Linked DNA regions of Notamacropus eugenii. The protein of the gene in region 1 interacts with the protein of each later gene in a pairwise test. Links are inferred from orthologs where the notes say so. Each region holds a gene or a part of one and is shown on either strand. Other genes may lie near its edges.

Region 1 (7,966 bases):
TTCTAGCATTATCTAACAGGATCTCTGATGCCCGGCCCATTTGGGCAGCCTGTGCATTCCCCAGAAGCTTCTGAAACTGGTAAAACCAGGCTATCACTACCCTCTTCCAGTGATCCCCTTCCCCCAACAAGAAAGCCAGAAAATCTTTCTGCCCTAGGCCCACCCTCTCTCTAAGAGACAGTCGGGGAAGCAGTGTTGCCATGGCAATCTGGTCGTCCTCATCAGGCCTCAGCCTGTTTTCCCCACCCCCCACCCCTCCCCCCCACTAACCTGCCCCCCTTTGTTTAGGTCTAGGGCAGTCTTGTCATGTCACTGACACCATAGGCTGCTTTACACATGCATCATTCATCTCCTCCTGAAGCATCTCTTGCCCCCAGCTAAAACCCCTCCTCATACCCCACCCCCAATCAGAAAGGGAAAATCCTTTAATGCCCTTATGGAACAGCCTTCAGTACCATACCAAAGTCTCCATAGGGATCCAAGAGTACTCACACCTAGGGGAAATAGGGCCAAACATTACAACCAGTAGTGGTTCTTGCTCTACTAGGTGGGTGGAAGGAGAGAAGAGTTTTTCAAAAAAGAATGCAACTTCCTTCTTCCCTTCTATAGCTGATGTTGAGAGCCCCACTCTCTTCTAGGGCTCATGCTCTAAGGGAAAATAACCTTTGCACTTACAGAACATAAGCTTCAATGTCTCCCACAAGGACCCAGGACATCCCAGAGGGTGGGGCTGAGTGAGTATTCAGCAAGTGGTAGAGGCCTGGTTTCTACCCAGAGAGCTCCTGGCCAGGAGAGGTCTGCTATAATGAGAAGGGTTGGGCCCTATGGACACAGCTTGGTACTGTGGAAACAGTACTAGATCTGGGGTCAAAAAATACTGGGTTTGAATTCTGGCTCTGCCACTTACTACCTGTATGACTTTTGGCAAGTCATATGAATTCTCTAGGCCTCAGTTTCCCCATCTGTAAAATGAGAGGAGGGGTGGTTCTAGATGACCTCTAAGGGTTTCCTTCCATCTGTAGTTCCATTGATCTGTTACCAGGGTCTCTGGGTCCCAAACACCTGAAAACAAAGCTTGCCCAGGGAGAGCAAGAACCAGCCAAGTCCCAGGCAAGGAAGGAAGTGGAAATGAACACACCCAGAACAAAGGGGCAGGGCAAAGGAAGGTCCGGGACAGGGGGCAGGGAGGACAGGGACCAAGGCTGATATTGGTGAGGAACAGAAAATGGGGGTTGAGGGAGGCTCTTAAGAGGAGCTGGGTGCTATTGAGAGTAGGACCAAGTAGAAAATGGAGGATGAGTGAAGAACAGATGTTGGGCGGGTGAGAGGGAGAAGGCTCCCTAGAGATATCATGGACTGAGAAAGAGACTTTAGTCATTATTGGATAATCTCACAGTTGGTAGAAGTGATCATTCCTCAAGCCTTACACAGGGCATACTGACAGGATCCCCCCCGGGGCAACAGTTCTCACCCATGTGAGAGCTCAGCACCCCCCAAGGCCAGTGGGGCTTTGTGCTGAAAGTATCTTCTCCCTCCCTGGTCGGGGTTTCCATGGGTACTGGGAGCTGAGGAGAAAGTAGGGGCACTTTGTGGGCACAAAGCTTGCTAACTTTCACTACTGCCCATTATCAGTCTCCTACGAATCAACCCTTACCCTTTCACTCCAGATGTATCCCTCCCTCAGTTCCTCTTCTACTTCCTTCTTCCTTCTGGAGTCCCCTCATTTTCCTCATGCATACACTCCTGCCTCCCCACTATTCTGTTCTTGTAAATTCCAACATATGGCCTCTTATAATATTCCTATTCACAAAATACTGCCCTACTCCTCTCCCCTTTCTGACGCATTCCCCAACTCTCCACCTCCCTCTCTTATGCCATTAAAGCCCTCCCCTTCCAGGCCAAACCTTTTTATTTTGTTCCCCTCTTTCTCACACAAAGGAACCCCTTCTCTTCATACAGTGATGTCCCAAGGGATCTTCCACAGGTTTATCCTTCCACCTTACAGAGTCATATATCCACCCCAAGCACCTTCTCACTGGGCCCCTTCTGCCTCACTGGGATTGGGCTAGACAGGGCTGCCCCTGAGACTTGCCAGATCCCCCTCCTCACACAACTGACCCCACCTTTCACAAGCCCCTTCTCTCTCTTCATATCATTCTATCTACAGGCTCCTTTTCTTTTGTCATACAGACACTCTATTTCCCTCTTTCAAGCAGCCCTTCCATTTCACTCCACAGACCTCCCCCTCCGCCCGGGATGCACCCCCTAAATACCTTCACTTCTTATTCACAGCCCCCTCCACAACCCCGTTCCCGCCTCAGTACCCACCTCCAAAGCCCCCTTCCTCTCCTCCTATAGTCCCATCCTCACAGACCCCTCCCCTTTCTATCCCAGCGCCCCCTACAGACCCCTCCCCTTCCTCACACAGTACCCCACCCCTTCCCTTCCTCAAAACCCCTTGGATCCCCTCCCCCCTCCAGCTTTCCCACAGACCCCTTTTCCACCTAGCCTTCCCCATCCATCTTCTCCCCCTTATGCAACAACGCCCTGCATCCCTCCTCCCTCACCTGTAGCTCCAGTGGTCGATCCCCTTGCACCTAGTGAGGGGCAGGGACAAGAGAACAGGGGGGTGGGGGCGGTTACTGAGCAGCCGCAGCCTCTGCCACATAGCCCCTCCCTTCCCCTCCCCCAGGTCCGCCCCTTCCCTTCCTTCCTCCCTTCCCCGATCCCCGCCCCTCTCCCCTGCAGGTTTCCCCCCTCCCCAGCCCCGCCCCGTCCATCCCTGACTCCGATGGGCCCCACCCTGCTCCCTCGGACCCCGCCCCGCTGCCCGAGCTCCGCCCCACTTCCCGGGCTCCGGCTGACCGCTCGGAGGACTGGACCCCTCCGGGCTCACCCTTGGGCTGGCTCGGAGGCTCTTGATTGACAGCAGCGGTCTAGCGGCCCAAGCCGGCCTCCTGCTGCGCTGAGCCAATCGGCAGCCGAAGAGCGCAGCGACACACGGGGACTGCCTCAGGTCCCGCCCCGGCCACGTGCGGCTTCTGTGATGACAGATCGGGAGGGGGTGGGGCCTGGCCTTTGAGAGCTGAGCAGGACCCCGAGGGGTGGGGCTGGAGGCCGGTAGCCTGCGGGCAGTCCTGCGGCGTGTCCGGGCCAGTGTAGGCGTGTTGTCCGGGACTCGCAGGGTCACCTGTGCTCACGCTGCAGCCCGTGGGGCCCAGGTGAACTGGAGCACGAGCCTGCCCTCCCTCTCCTCTGCGTCTCTGCCCCAGCCTGGTGCAGAGGGGTCAGGTGCCCAGGAAGGGGAGATTCAAGTTGTAGCAGGGGCTGTTAACTGGTTTTGGACTCCGATTTATTCCTCAAATTAGCTCTAGAGTTGAGGAACCTGCGGCCTCGAGGCCCATGTGGCTTGACTGAGTTCAAGTTTTACAGAGCAAATCTTTTTATTAAGGGGATTTGTTCTGTGAAGCTGGCTTCCGTGTAAGAACCGCCCTCGAGGACTTCCTTCGGCCTCGAGACCACAGGTTCCCCATACCTGACTAATCCTTTCCATTTGGAGGCGCTGTCCAGTGGGGTAGTGTAATTCCTTGTAGGGAATCCTTTATGAGGCAGGGGATTTTATTTGCACAGGTAATGCTAAAACCTCAAAGCTGAAATAGAGGAACTCCTCTTAGTACAATTCCTTACGTCTTTGAAGATGACGGAACTTGACACTCAGAAACCTTAAGTGACTTGCCTGTGGTCATACAGGTCCCAAGTCCTCTGGTTGCAAATCATGTTCTTTTCATTATACCATGCAATTCAATAAACATTTATTAGGTTCCTACTATGTGCATAAAGCCCTGTCCTCCGTGCTAGAAATAGGCTTACATACTCAAATGAAAACCAACTCAGCTCTGGCTCTCAGGGAGCTTGCAATGGAATTAGGGGAGGTAAGACTAATAAATAAGATACAGATAAAAGGTGTTAAAGGGGAAAAAAGACATCCAGACCAGGAACTTCTCAATTTTTCTTTTTCTGTAGAGTCCTTGTTTTCTTTGTATCCAGTGAGATATATATGTATGTATATATGTGTGTAGGTATATGTATATATACACATACATACATATATGAAGAAAGGCTACTTTGTATTCAATAAGGCTTTCAAATGAATTTCACTGTTACTAACCACAACAGTTGAGGATGTGTGGAACAGTGGATAGAGAGCTGACGAGCCTGGAATCAGGAAAACAAGGGTTCCAGTCCCTCTTCTGATACATTATAGCTTTGTCCCCTTGGCAAGTCATTTGATTCTGTGTGAGTGAAGTAACTCCTTAGCACTTATCTATTAAAACAGGGACAGGCTATGATCTTCATAAGTGTAGGAAGTGCTTTACCCTGAGGAAATTGAAGATTCTTCCTACCACCACCACTGCATCTATATAAAATGGGAAAATGGTAATATATGCGCAAGAAATTATATATATTCATCCTACCGAAAATGTTTGTTTACTCATACGCTGAGTCATCTAATGAGATTCACTCCTTGCATTGTCTTGGTCCATCTCTCCACACTCCCCTCCCTCCACCCCCATGCTTCTGGTGTGGGCCCTTGATCTACAGATTAAGAACTACCAGTCTAGACAAGGGCAGCTTGGTTTCGAAGTGGATAGAGTGTGGGGTCTGGAGTAAGGAAGATCTGAGTTCAAATCCTGCCTCAAACACTATCTGTGTGACCCTGGGTAAGTCACTTAAGCCTGTTTGGGTTGTTAAGAAACCCTTTCAGTTTCTTCATCTGTAAAATGAGTTAGAAAAGGAAATGACAAACCACTCTAGTATTTTGGCCAGGAAAACTCCAAATGAGGTCATGAAGAGTTCGACATAACTGAACAATAACAAGTGTAGACAAGTGAGAGAGGCAGCTAGGTTGCTCAGTGGATAGAGCACTGGGTCTGGAGTCAGGAAGACCTGAGTTCAAATCAGGTCTAGATACTTACTAGCTGTGTGGCCCTGGGTGAGTCACTTGACCTCTGTTTGCCTTAATCCACTGGAGAAGGAAATGGTAAATCACTCCAAGAAAACCCTAAATGGTAAATCAATAAAACCCCAAATCACTCCAAGAAAACGCCAGAAAACCCCAAATCACAAAGAGTCGGACATGATTGAACAACAACCAAGTATAGACATGATGCTACATTGCCACGGATGTGTGCACTAGAATCGAAAGAAGTTGGGCCTCTGCCTTGCATCAGTCTTAGGAGCTGTGTGAATGCAAATGGAATGGAATAAAGGTGAGGAAGTGTCTCTGGCAGCCTGCTAAATAGCTTACCCTGGGATGCCCATCTCCCAGCTGCCTGAAGATGGCAGCATAGGGCAATACAAAACAGCAATGAAATGAGGGCTGGCCTGAAATTGAAATCCAAGAGACTTTTTTTTAAGAGTATCCCAGAAGGTATGTAAGAGTTTATAAGACTTTTGGGTAAATGTGTATATCTGTGTGCATCTGTACAATTCATAGTATCTGAGTGATTGTGTGACTCTAGAATTTCATTCCGAAGTGATTGGAATTTTGGGTGTTATAGGTTGGGGAAAGGGAAGAAGCATTTATATGGTGCATATTATGTGCCAAGTACTATGATAAATGGTTTTTTTAAACAAATATCATCACATTTGATCTTCACAACAACCCTGGAATCTAGATACTATTATCTTCATTTTACAGTTAAGGAAGCTGAGGCAGACAGAGTTTAGGTGACTTGCCCAGGGTCACACAGCTGATAAGTATCTGAGGATGGATTTGAACTCAGGGCTTTTCCATTCCAGATCCAGTGTTCTATCTATTGCATCCCCAGCTGCCCAAATATATTCTAGGTAAGCTTTGTTCCCAGCTTTGGGTTTCTATCCTCACCTGATTTCCTATATTTCCAGTCCTTTCTTTGCTTAAGGAAGCCTGAATTTTTGAAAACTGGAAATAAAATGAGTGTTGGCTGTTTGAGTAGGGGATGGTAGGCCTCCTTTGAGTGAAGGTCTACATTTTTTTCTTGAATGAAGACTCATTTCTGGTATACCACCCAAGTGATATCTGCTTGATGTCTCAAGCCTTTGGGTAAGAAATTTAGGACAGAGTAGCTGCCCATGGGGCTTCTCTTTTCTTCAGATATTCATGCTTAGCCCCAGAGATTTTACAGGTCCACTGTCTCCCTTTCCCCTTTCTTCTTCCCATTCCAATCCAACTGTCACAACAAATTCAAAGCTCCGTGTATTTGTTGTATTTCTAGAAGTTTCCATTCTGAGTCAGTAGGTTCTTCAAAAGGAGTGTTGAGGAGGGGGTAGAAGGAAGGAATATGTCAGTTCCAGGAGTTGCAATTAATTCCTAGGTTTTTTTGATAACTTCTTCATATTGACTCTTATCCTAACTAAACCCTAGGAATAAGGATTAAATCCTGACTGTAGGAGAAGTCCTGGTTTTGCCTGAGGAGAACAAAATGAACAAACAACCCCAAAAGTCAATAGGTGTGATGACCCTTCCTTGAGCGGGTGGGTGGTTCAGTGGACGGAGTCCTGGGCCTGGTGTCAGAGAGACTGAAGTTCAAACTGAACCTCAGAAACTTACTAGCTGTGTGATCCTGGTCAAGTCACTTAACCTGTGACTGTCTCAGTTTCTTTAACTGTAAAACTGGAACAATAATAACACCTACCTCCCAGGGCTGTTGTGAAGATCAAATGAGATAATATTTGTAAAGTGTTTAGTGAAATTCTTGGCACATAGTAGGAGCTTTAAAACAGGTAATAATAAGTAGGAGCTTGTTTCTCCTTTCCCCCATCCCCACCCCTTGAACTATCAGTTAACCTGCTCATGGCTCTACACCAACCAATCTATCAACAAGTGGCACAGTATTTTATTTAAATACATTACTACTCCTGCACTATCTTTTAAATTTGTCTTCTCTGTATCTCCTTTATTTTCACATAGCAAACAATCTAGTAAGCCTGCCTAAATTATCTCAATAGTCTCCTGACATCATGGTATTATTTCTTCTTCTTGCCTCTCCTCATTCCAATCCATCCTTTGCACTATGACTGTAGAATTATTCTTTATGCACAGATTTGGTAGTCCTCCCTGTCACAACTCTTCAGTGGTCCCCTAATTGTTTATCAGATAAATTTTAACTCCATCCTACAACAGCGATTCACAAAGGGTGGGTAGAATATGAGGGTTCTTTCAGAGTTCTAGAGTATTGTGTGGAACTTCTACTTGAAAGCCAATGAGAATGCTCAGCTGTTAGTATGCTCAGTGCAAAGAATAATACTGTGTTGTGAACAGCAGAGTAAGAAAACCAGTGGCCTAGAGTGCCCACCATTGTCTAACTGTGTCTTGCATTATGTTTCAAAACCAAAGTTCTGTGCCCTGACTATGTCCTTCACTCCTCTCTATCTCTTCTTTTGCTTACATCATTCCCTATGTCTGAAATAGGCTCCCCTATCCAGATCTGTACCTATTGAAATCTTATCAGTGCTTAAGCATCCAGTTGAAATGGTATTTCTTTTAAAAAGTCTTCCCTGAACCCTTCAGTTAGTTGAAAATCATCTTTCCTTTTTCAGAACTTGTACTAGCTCTTTTTATTTATCATTTTCCCTTTTGTAGTATAGTTATTTGTAGATGAGTTTGTCTCCTTTAAATGATGATCTAGCTTAAAGACGCCACTTGGCAGATGCCATAGGGGCTGGTGATCCACACCCTTCTAGTACTGAACCCTGTCATTGTGGTTTGCCTGGGGTTTCTCCCTATTTTTTGTTGGTTCATCAAAACCCCACCTGATCTACTCTGGGGACAGTGTTCCTTTTGGACCTTATCTAGGACTTCTTTTCTCCAAACAAAAAGTCATGTAATGCACAATCACAAACTGAGTATAGGACAAGTAATTTATTCTCACTCAGAAACTAATGACAAGACAATCACAAGGTCCACCAGTAGAATGGTTAAAAC
Region 2 (7,261 bases), on another chromosome or scaffold:
CATCCCACAGATATCTTAAATTCAACAGCTCTAAGATTGAATTTATCTCCTTCCAGATTCTTCCCTCTTTCTAACTTCCCTAATATGGTTGAAAGTATCACCATCTTCCCAGTCACGCAGGCTCAACATCTAGATATCATTCTCATTCTCTCTCACTCCTCATGTCTAATGTGTTTCCATGTCTTGTTGATTTCACCTTCACAATATCTCACATATGTTTCTTCTTCTGTCTTCTGATACCACCAACACATTAATGCATGCTCCCACATTTCCTTATACTTGGACTATTTCTATAGCCTGCTAGCTGTTCTCCCTGACTCAAGTCTTTCTTCACTCCAGTTTGTCTTATATTCAGCTGTCAAAAGTGATCTTCCTACAGTACAGGAATGAAAATGTCACCCCCTATCAACAAGTTAAGTCCACGAAGTTTCAGTATATTCCAAAGACCCTAAATCCTGGGGAATAACATATGTGGGTTAGTACAGCACAACCTATAAATAAGGATAAACTATACATACTCATGGTACATTGCAAAACACTGAATTTGGAGTCAGCAGAACTATGTCTGAGCCCTTCTAATGAATAACTGTAAAATCTTGTACAATGTATTTTACTTCTCTAAACCACAACTTCCTCATTGGCAAAAGGAAGGAAACAAAAAAAAATCTTTATGATCCCTTCTAACTCCAATGACCTCTGGTCTGCGGTTTTTTCTAATCACATAGTCTGCTATGGCCCCCAGTAAAGTTTTTATTTCATTCTGATTCACAGAAACCAATAATCATGATCAGACTGAGTGCCAGGCACATTGTGGGTTATTCAAGCTAATGAATATGTTGTCAGTTTAATTGAGATTATAGGTTTAATGCTGACATGGTCCATTTAGTTTCACCATATTCCAAAGACCCTAAATCCTGGGGAATAACCCACATATATTGTTGGCTACAACAGATACTAAAAAGTGCAGAGAAATCACCACAAAACCAGCCCCTTTACTGGAAAAAACAATTCTGAAAACTTATCCCACTGATGTATTTGATAGCATCATCTTCAAATGGAAAAGGCAGATCAAAGTTTATAGACAATCCTTATTCATGAGACATGAAATAGTATGGGATCATAGGATTTGGTAGTAGGATTTTAGATTTATAGCTGGAAGGGGGTAACTTAGAGAACAACTAGCCCAACTGCCTTAGTTTACAAATGAGGAGACTGAGGCCCAGGGTAGTGAAATGATTTTTCACTAGTCACATTGGTAGTCACAACACAGGAATTTAAAAATTAGCCTTATTATTCTAATTAAAATAAAAGGATTAATTTATGTTAAATGTACCTTCAGTGAAACTCTAGGAAACTGTCATAGTGATTTGCTTTTGTTCCCAGTGAGTCCTGGATTCAATCAAATCCTCAAACTTACTGGGGATAATATAATACTGACTATGGTGGGGGAAGGAATGAGGAAATATGCCAATATTGCCATAATTGTGGATTTGTATTTATAATTATGGTTTTTAAATGTTGTCTACAAGACCTACCATAAGAGGTGAGAGACCCAAGCTTGAACTATAGCAAATCACCCTAAGATAGGGAAATGTTTGAAGCTAGTGGTTAAAAGCAAATGAAAATAAGTATATAGGTCTCATTGGCTCTCAGGTGTGCATTTCCACTCATATGACTGAGGAGAAATAAAAGGGTGCAAAATGGGGCACAGGATCATAAAACCATTTCATTTATCTGGTTGTCTATAGGGGTAGGAGGAAACCCACAAGCAGATAAATAAAACTATTCTCTGACACCCAAGTCCATAGCTAGTACTTTAAGGTGCAATATCACATGGAATGGTCTAAATGGTATCTCTCCTCATCTGTAAAATGACAGTGTTGAACTAGATGGTTTCTGAGGTCCATATCAGTCCTGTGATCACAGGGAATAAACTATGTCTAAGGTTTCTTCTTTAAGGCACATTAGGAGGTACCAGTTTATACAATTTCCCACCTATACCTGAGGGCTGGGAAAGCAGATTTTAGGACACCCAAGAACCTTGCCAACTAAGTCCATGGAAAAAAAATTAGAATTGAGTTATCATTAAGGATAAAAAATTGTCAAAGAGAAAGAATTTGGGCAAAAAAAAAAGATGTACTCAAGAAAGAGTGATGGTGTCCAGTGGCTATCATTTAGGGTCCATATTACAAACTAAAAACTTGTATAGCTTGTATCCCACCTCCATTTTTCTCCTATGGAGTCAGTGTCCTTTTCAAAAGTACTCAAGGAGGTAGTATACTGTTTGGGGAGAGCATGTAAAAGGCAGAGGGTGAGTGAGTAGGTAAACAAGGTAAAGAAAAATCAACTGTCTTCTCTCCATAGGGAATTTATAGTATGTATCTGCATATTAGGGATATAGTATGTATCTGCATATTTTCCCAGAAAATTAGGGAAAGGAATAGCAATGAAAAATCTAGTAGCAAATGACCCGGGACTTCCAGGCATTGAAAGAGAACTCTAAACTCGGGGCAACAGCAATACACTTCCTTTGGTTTCTACGTCTTTATCATGCCATCTCACTTCATGTATCTACAGGGTGCTCCAAAAGTCTTAGCTTATCCAAGCCTATTCTCTTCTCCATCCTTAACTTTTTCTCTCCTGTCTCTGTACCTTTGTCTACACCATCTCCTCTGCTGACAATGGACTCTCATCTCCCATCTCCATTTGTTGAAATTCCTCCCTTCTTTCAAGATCCATGTCAGGTGCCACCACATATAAGCCCTCCTTGATCCCTAGTTAAAAATGATATTTCCTTCTTCAAATTTCTTTCACGCTTTACACATATCTCAAATTCCCATTTGTTACAGTTATTTGTGCATATGTTATATCATAGTTATTTGCACAACTCTCCAGGATCTTCCATTGCCCTAATTTTCCATTTTAACTCATACTCTTTTTACATGAGCTCTATATTTCAAACAAACTGGACTACTTGTCATCTCTCTTACACCTCTTACCTGTCCCCATGGCATGCTTTCCTTCCTCCAAAAAATAGCACATGCTGTTTACTATGCCTAGCATGTCCTCTTCCATCCAACCTGCTGAATTCTTACCTGCCTTGTAAAGGCTATTTCAAATGCTCTCCAGGAAGCCTTCCTTGATCTCCCCAGATAAGGAATGGTCTTTCTACACTTAAGTCTCACATTGCTCTTATGCACTTAGGTACTATCATTATTTTTATAGATTTACAACTTACTAAATTGTAAGCATGTTGGAGGCAAGGACTCTGTCTTATCTACCTTCTCTGTCTCCTCCAATACCCAGCACAGTGCCACATAGAGTAGGTGTTTAATAAATGTTTGTTGAATGTAGTGATTCTAGGGATACCACATCTCAAAATGTTATGTTGCCTGCCTTTTGGATAACTGCTGGAAAAAAGATATAATGAATTGCTTTAAAGATAACCAACAGGAGTGGAAAAAATGGAAGACATGATCTGGAAACTCCATAGACTAGATAATACAAAGTTGAGTCCGTCAAGTAATAATCCTTTATTTTATGTTATATCAGAAAATTATCCTCCTATGAAAGAATCATAGTTAGCACAATCCTCAAACACTTCAAAAAAATTAAAGTCTTTGTTGGTTTAAAAAAAAATAAGAAGCTCTTTAAAATATGGGCATCACCTATTACATATTGGTCCAGTGGCAAAAGCATTAGTTCTGAACTCGAAGAGCATGGTTACAAATTCTACTTCTGATACTTACTACCTTTATGACTTTGGGTATATCACTTAGCTTCCTTGGGCCTCAATTTCCTCATATGAGAGGAAATATGAGGGGGGGGGAAGGGAGGGAGAGGGAGGGAGAGAGAGAGAGAGAGAAATCAATTGGCCTCTGCAGTTCCTTCCAGCTCTATCTATGAATAAATTCTTGTTGACTGATTGAATTGTTATTTATCTCAATAGTAAGAGCTATCATAATTACATCAGTCTCTGTAAAAAGTGTACCATGTATTATTTCAGCATCCGGAGAACAAATTAAGCTACTGGAAAGCTGTAGTCAGCTGTATTATTTCATGGGAGAACTGTTTGTCACTCCCCAGAGGATATGGAGTTGAATGCCCAACGTAAGACATTCAGCTTCCAACCGAACATGGCCAGTAAAACATATCCCTAGAGATTAATAACATTCCACTCCAGTTCTCTGATGCTTGTTTTGGGTTATTTTGATTGATGGTAGAATTAAAAACTCAAGTTATTTTTAAAAGGGAAAAACAACCTTTTCTGTTAGTATGATAAATACAGCTGTAGAACCAAAAGCCAATATTCCAAAAGGTTCCAGCCTCTCAGAACAAGAAAGGAGCTGGGGAGCATCTAATTCAACTCCATTATTTTCCAGGTAAGGAAAGTGAGGCCCAAAGATATGAAGTGATAGAGGCTACTAGAAGGCATGGTGGATAGAGGACTAGACTTGGGATGAGGAAGAAGTGAATTCAAATCGTGCTATAGAATCGTGCTATGGCTTTTCCACCCTGGGTTGAGTCCTTTAACTTAGTCTTTCCTTAACTGTAAAATGGAGATGCTAACATAACCTACTGTACAGTCATCATGGAAATCCAATGAGATAGTATGTCCAAAGTATTTTGCAAACCTTAATGTGTTATATAAATGTTAGCCATTATTATTATTAATTATTTCTATTACCCAAAGCCACAGAGCTAGTTATCAAAAGGCTAGTTCTGAAGTCCTGGTTTCCTGACCTCCAGTCCATTGCTCTTTCTACTATAAACTGGTAGTGTCAAATGATTATGGCTAGAGCCTGTCTTATTCAAGTATTGATACATTCATAATTGCAATTGACCCCTTACAACAACCCTAGCAAATAGGCAGAGTGCGTATTAAGGTCCTTTACTCTGGGGGAAATTGGGACCAAGAGATGCTAAGTAACTTGCTCAGGGTCAGTCGGAGCTGACATTTGTATCTTCATTTTACAATCGGGGAAACTAAGACCTAGAAAAACTGAGTGATTGCTCAAGATGACACAAAGTAGGGCTAACTATCGGACTAGAATGTGAATCTTACTGCTAATCTAGCGCTATTACCATTACATTGTGTTTCTATTTGTGCTGTATTTTTTCCATTTGGAAGTGTGAGTTTAAAATGTTTCCCTTTGGGCAACAGAAATCTTCTTTGGAAAGAATGTGAAAGGAATTTAAAATTCTCTATAGTCTTTGGAGACACAAACCACAGGTATTCTGTTGGACGTTCCTCAAGATTTCTCTGACTTTATCCAACCTTCTAAGCTTTTATTTTGCATTTGTAACATGCCTAGAACTGGAGGAGTTGGGAGAGGGGGAGAAGGAAGAAAGGAAGGGAAGGGAAGGAGAGGGAGAGAACATTCAGAGAAAGTAGTATGGTAAAGGGGATAAAGAGATGATCTCAGAACTTTGGAAAACCTAGGTCCTTTCTTTGAAAAATATACTGCTTGTATGACCCTGAGAAAGTCACTTAACTTCTCATTGTCCTAGAGGCAACTCTCTAAGACTCATTGCCAATCTTCTTTGGTAGAGTGAGTTTCCTAACAAAGATTTCCCAATACCAATGAAATCCCAAGTCCAGACAAATACATACACATATATCCACAATATATACGTACATACACACAACATATGCATATGATATAGGCATATATTCTATGTATGCCTATATGGGCATATGCACACATATGTATATATACACACACATATATATATATACATACAGTGTATAGAAAATATACACACACAGAGCTAGGTCATACAATGAATAAAATGCTTGAACTAGAGTCAGGAAGACTCATACTCTGATATAAATCCGGCCTCTGACACTCATTAGCTGTGTGACCCTGGGCAAGTCACTTAACCCCGTTTACCTCAGTTTCCTCATCTGTAAAATGAGCTGGAGAAGAAAATGGCAAACTGCTCTAGTATCTTTGCCATGAAAACTCCAAATGGGGTCATAGAGACTGGACATAAGTGAAAATATTGAACAGCAAACAACAATGCATATATACATATACATATACATATGCATGCCTATTAGATGTGTGTGTTTGCATGGATTTGGGGACTTTATTTGACAGTGAGGCTCTTCTGTTGTCTGGCTCTTTCCAGTCTTGTCTTCTAATCTCTCCCTTTGCACAGAGTGATGATTTGCTCCCTCATCTCAGCGACTTAGTTTACTCAGCTAGAACGCCACACTCCTACACCACAAGCTCCACTTGTACAATTTACACACGTCTTCCAAGAATCAGACCAAGTGCCATATCTATGAAGTCTTTCCTGGCAGCCTCTAGAGGAGGGGTTCTTAACTCTTTTGTATGCTGTGTAGTCCCTATGGCAGTCTAATGAAGCTTTGGATGGAACTCTCTTCAGATTAATTAAATAACTTAAGGAAATAACTAAATTTTAGTTAGATATTAGTGGAAATAAAAATGTATTTCTTTCCCATTCAAATTCACAAACCTCTTGAAATCTAGCCATGGACTCCAAGAGGTCTGTGGTCCCCAGCTACAGTACCACCTGTTTCACTAGGCTTTCCCACATAGACTACAGATACTGGTGTTTTAGCTTTAAGATCCAAATGAAATGTTACAGAAAAAACAGTTTGGCTGATAGTTTGGAGAGTTTTAGCTGTCATTCCAGAGAGACTTGTCATGCCAGTGAGGTGATTGAAATGCCTATCACACTGGTGAGAAAGTAAAAAAGAAACAGAATGACCAAAATATTGTTTGAACTTATGAAGAAAGCTTATAAAGAAAATTATATGAGAAAGAGTGAAGTGAAGACACTATTTTCCTCTCAAGGATGGAGAGAAATTAGAGAAGGTAGAGAAAAAGAAGGTGGGAAAATCTTTTCTGGTGAAGTTGTTTTGAATATATGAATAAACAAATGAAAATAGCATTTAACAAGTGCTTACTACATGCCAAAAAGCAAAAATAGTCTGTCACACTCTAACTGGGGGAGACTACATAAAAAAGAATTTCAGCTGCAGGGCATATGGAAAGGCCAGGAAGACCTAATGGTTCTGCAACTAAACTGATGTGAAGACCAGGAGGTTCATAGTCAGTCAGATGATAACACCCTGGGGTGTAATGGGTATAGCAACAGCAGGGTAAAGGGTTTAGCCTTGAGTACATTAGATTGTAACAGCAGGGGAGATGGCAAGGCCTATTGAATCTCCATTTTGCCCAAGTGATATGAGCTGTAAAGCAGCCTTAGAGAGGGGAAGAAGGGAAAG

The links. The genes of interacting proteins can lie anywhere in the genome.
Region 2: the proteins of ATOSB (region 1) and FHL5 interact in binary tests that used the Homo sapiens proteins (3 or more experiments, as listed by UniProt). The two-hybrid records come from large-scale screens. The link is inferred for Notamacropus eugenii from reciprocal best matches to the Homo sapiens genes ATOSB and FHL5.

The regions. Positions count from the first base shown.
Region 1 is NC_092872.1:78,502,464-78,510,429, forward strand, and holds the start of ATOSB (atos homolog protein B), read right to left. Parts: upstream 3,011-7,966; 5' UTR 2,897-3,010; intron 2,728-2,896; exon of another isoform or gene 2,598-2,727; 5' UTR 2,568-2,597; intron 1,566-2,567; 5' UTR 1,472-1,565; intron 182-1,471; exon of another isoform or gene 1-181. UniProt on the Homo sapiens protein: Transcription regulator that may syncronize transcriptional and translational programs.
Region 2 is NC_092873.1:172,750,936-172,758,196, forward strand, and holds the start of FHL5 (four and a half LIM domains protein 5), read left to right. Parts: upstream 1-4,260; 5' UTR 4,261-4,275; coding exon 4,276-4,382; intron 4,383-7,261. UniProt on the Homo sapiens protein: May be involved in the regulation of spermatogenesis. Stimulates CREM transcriptional activity in a phosphorylation-independent manner.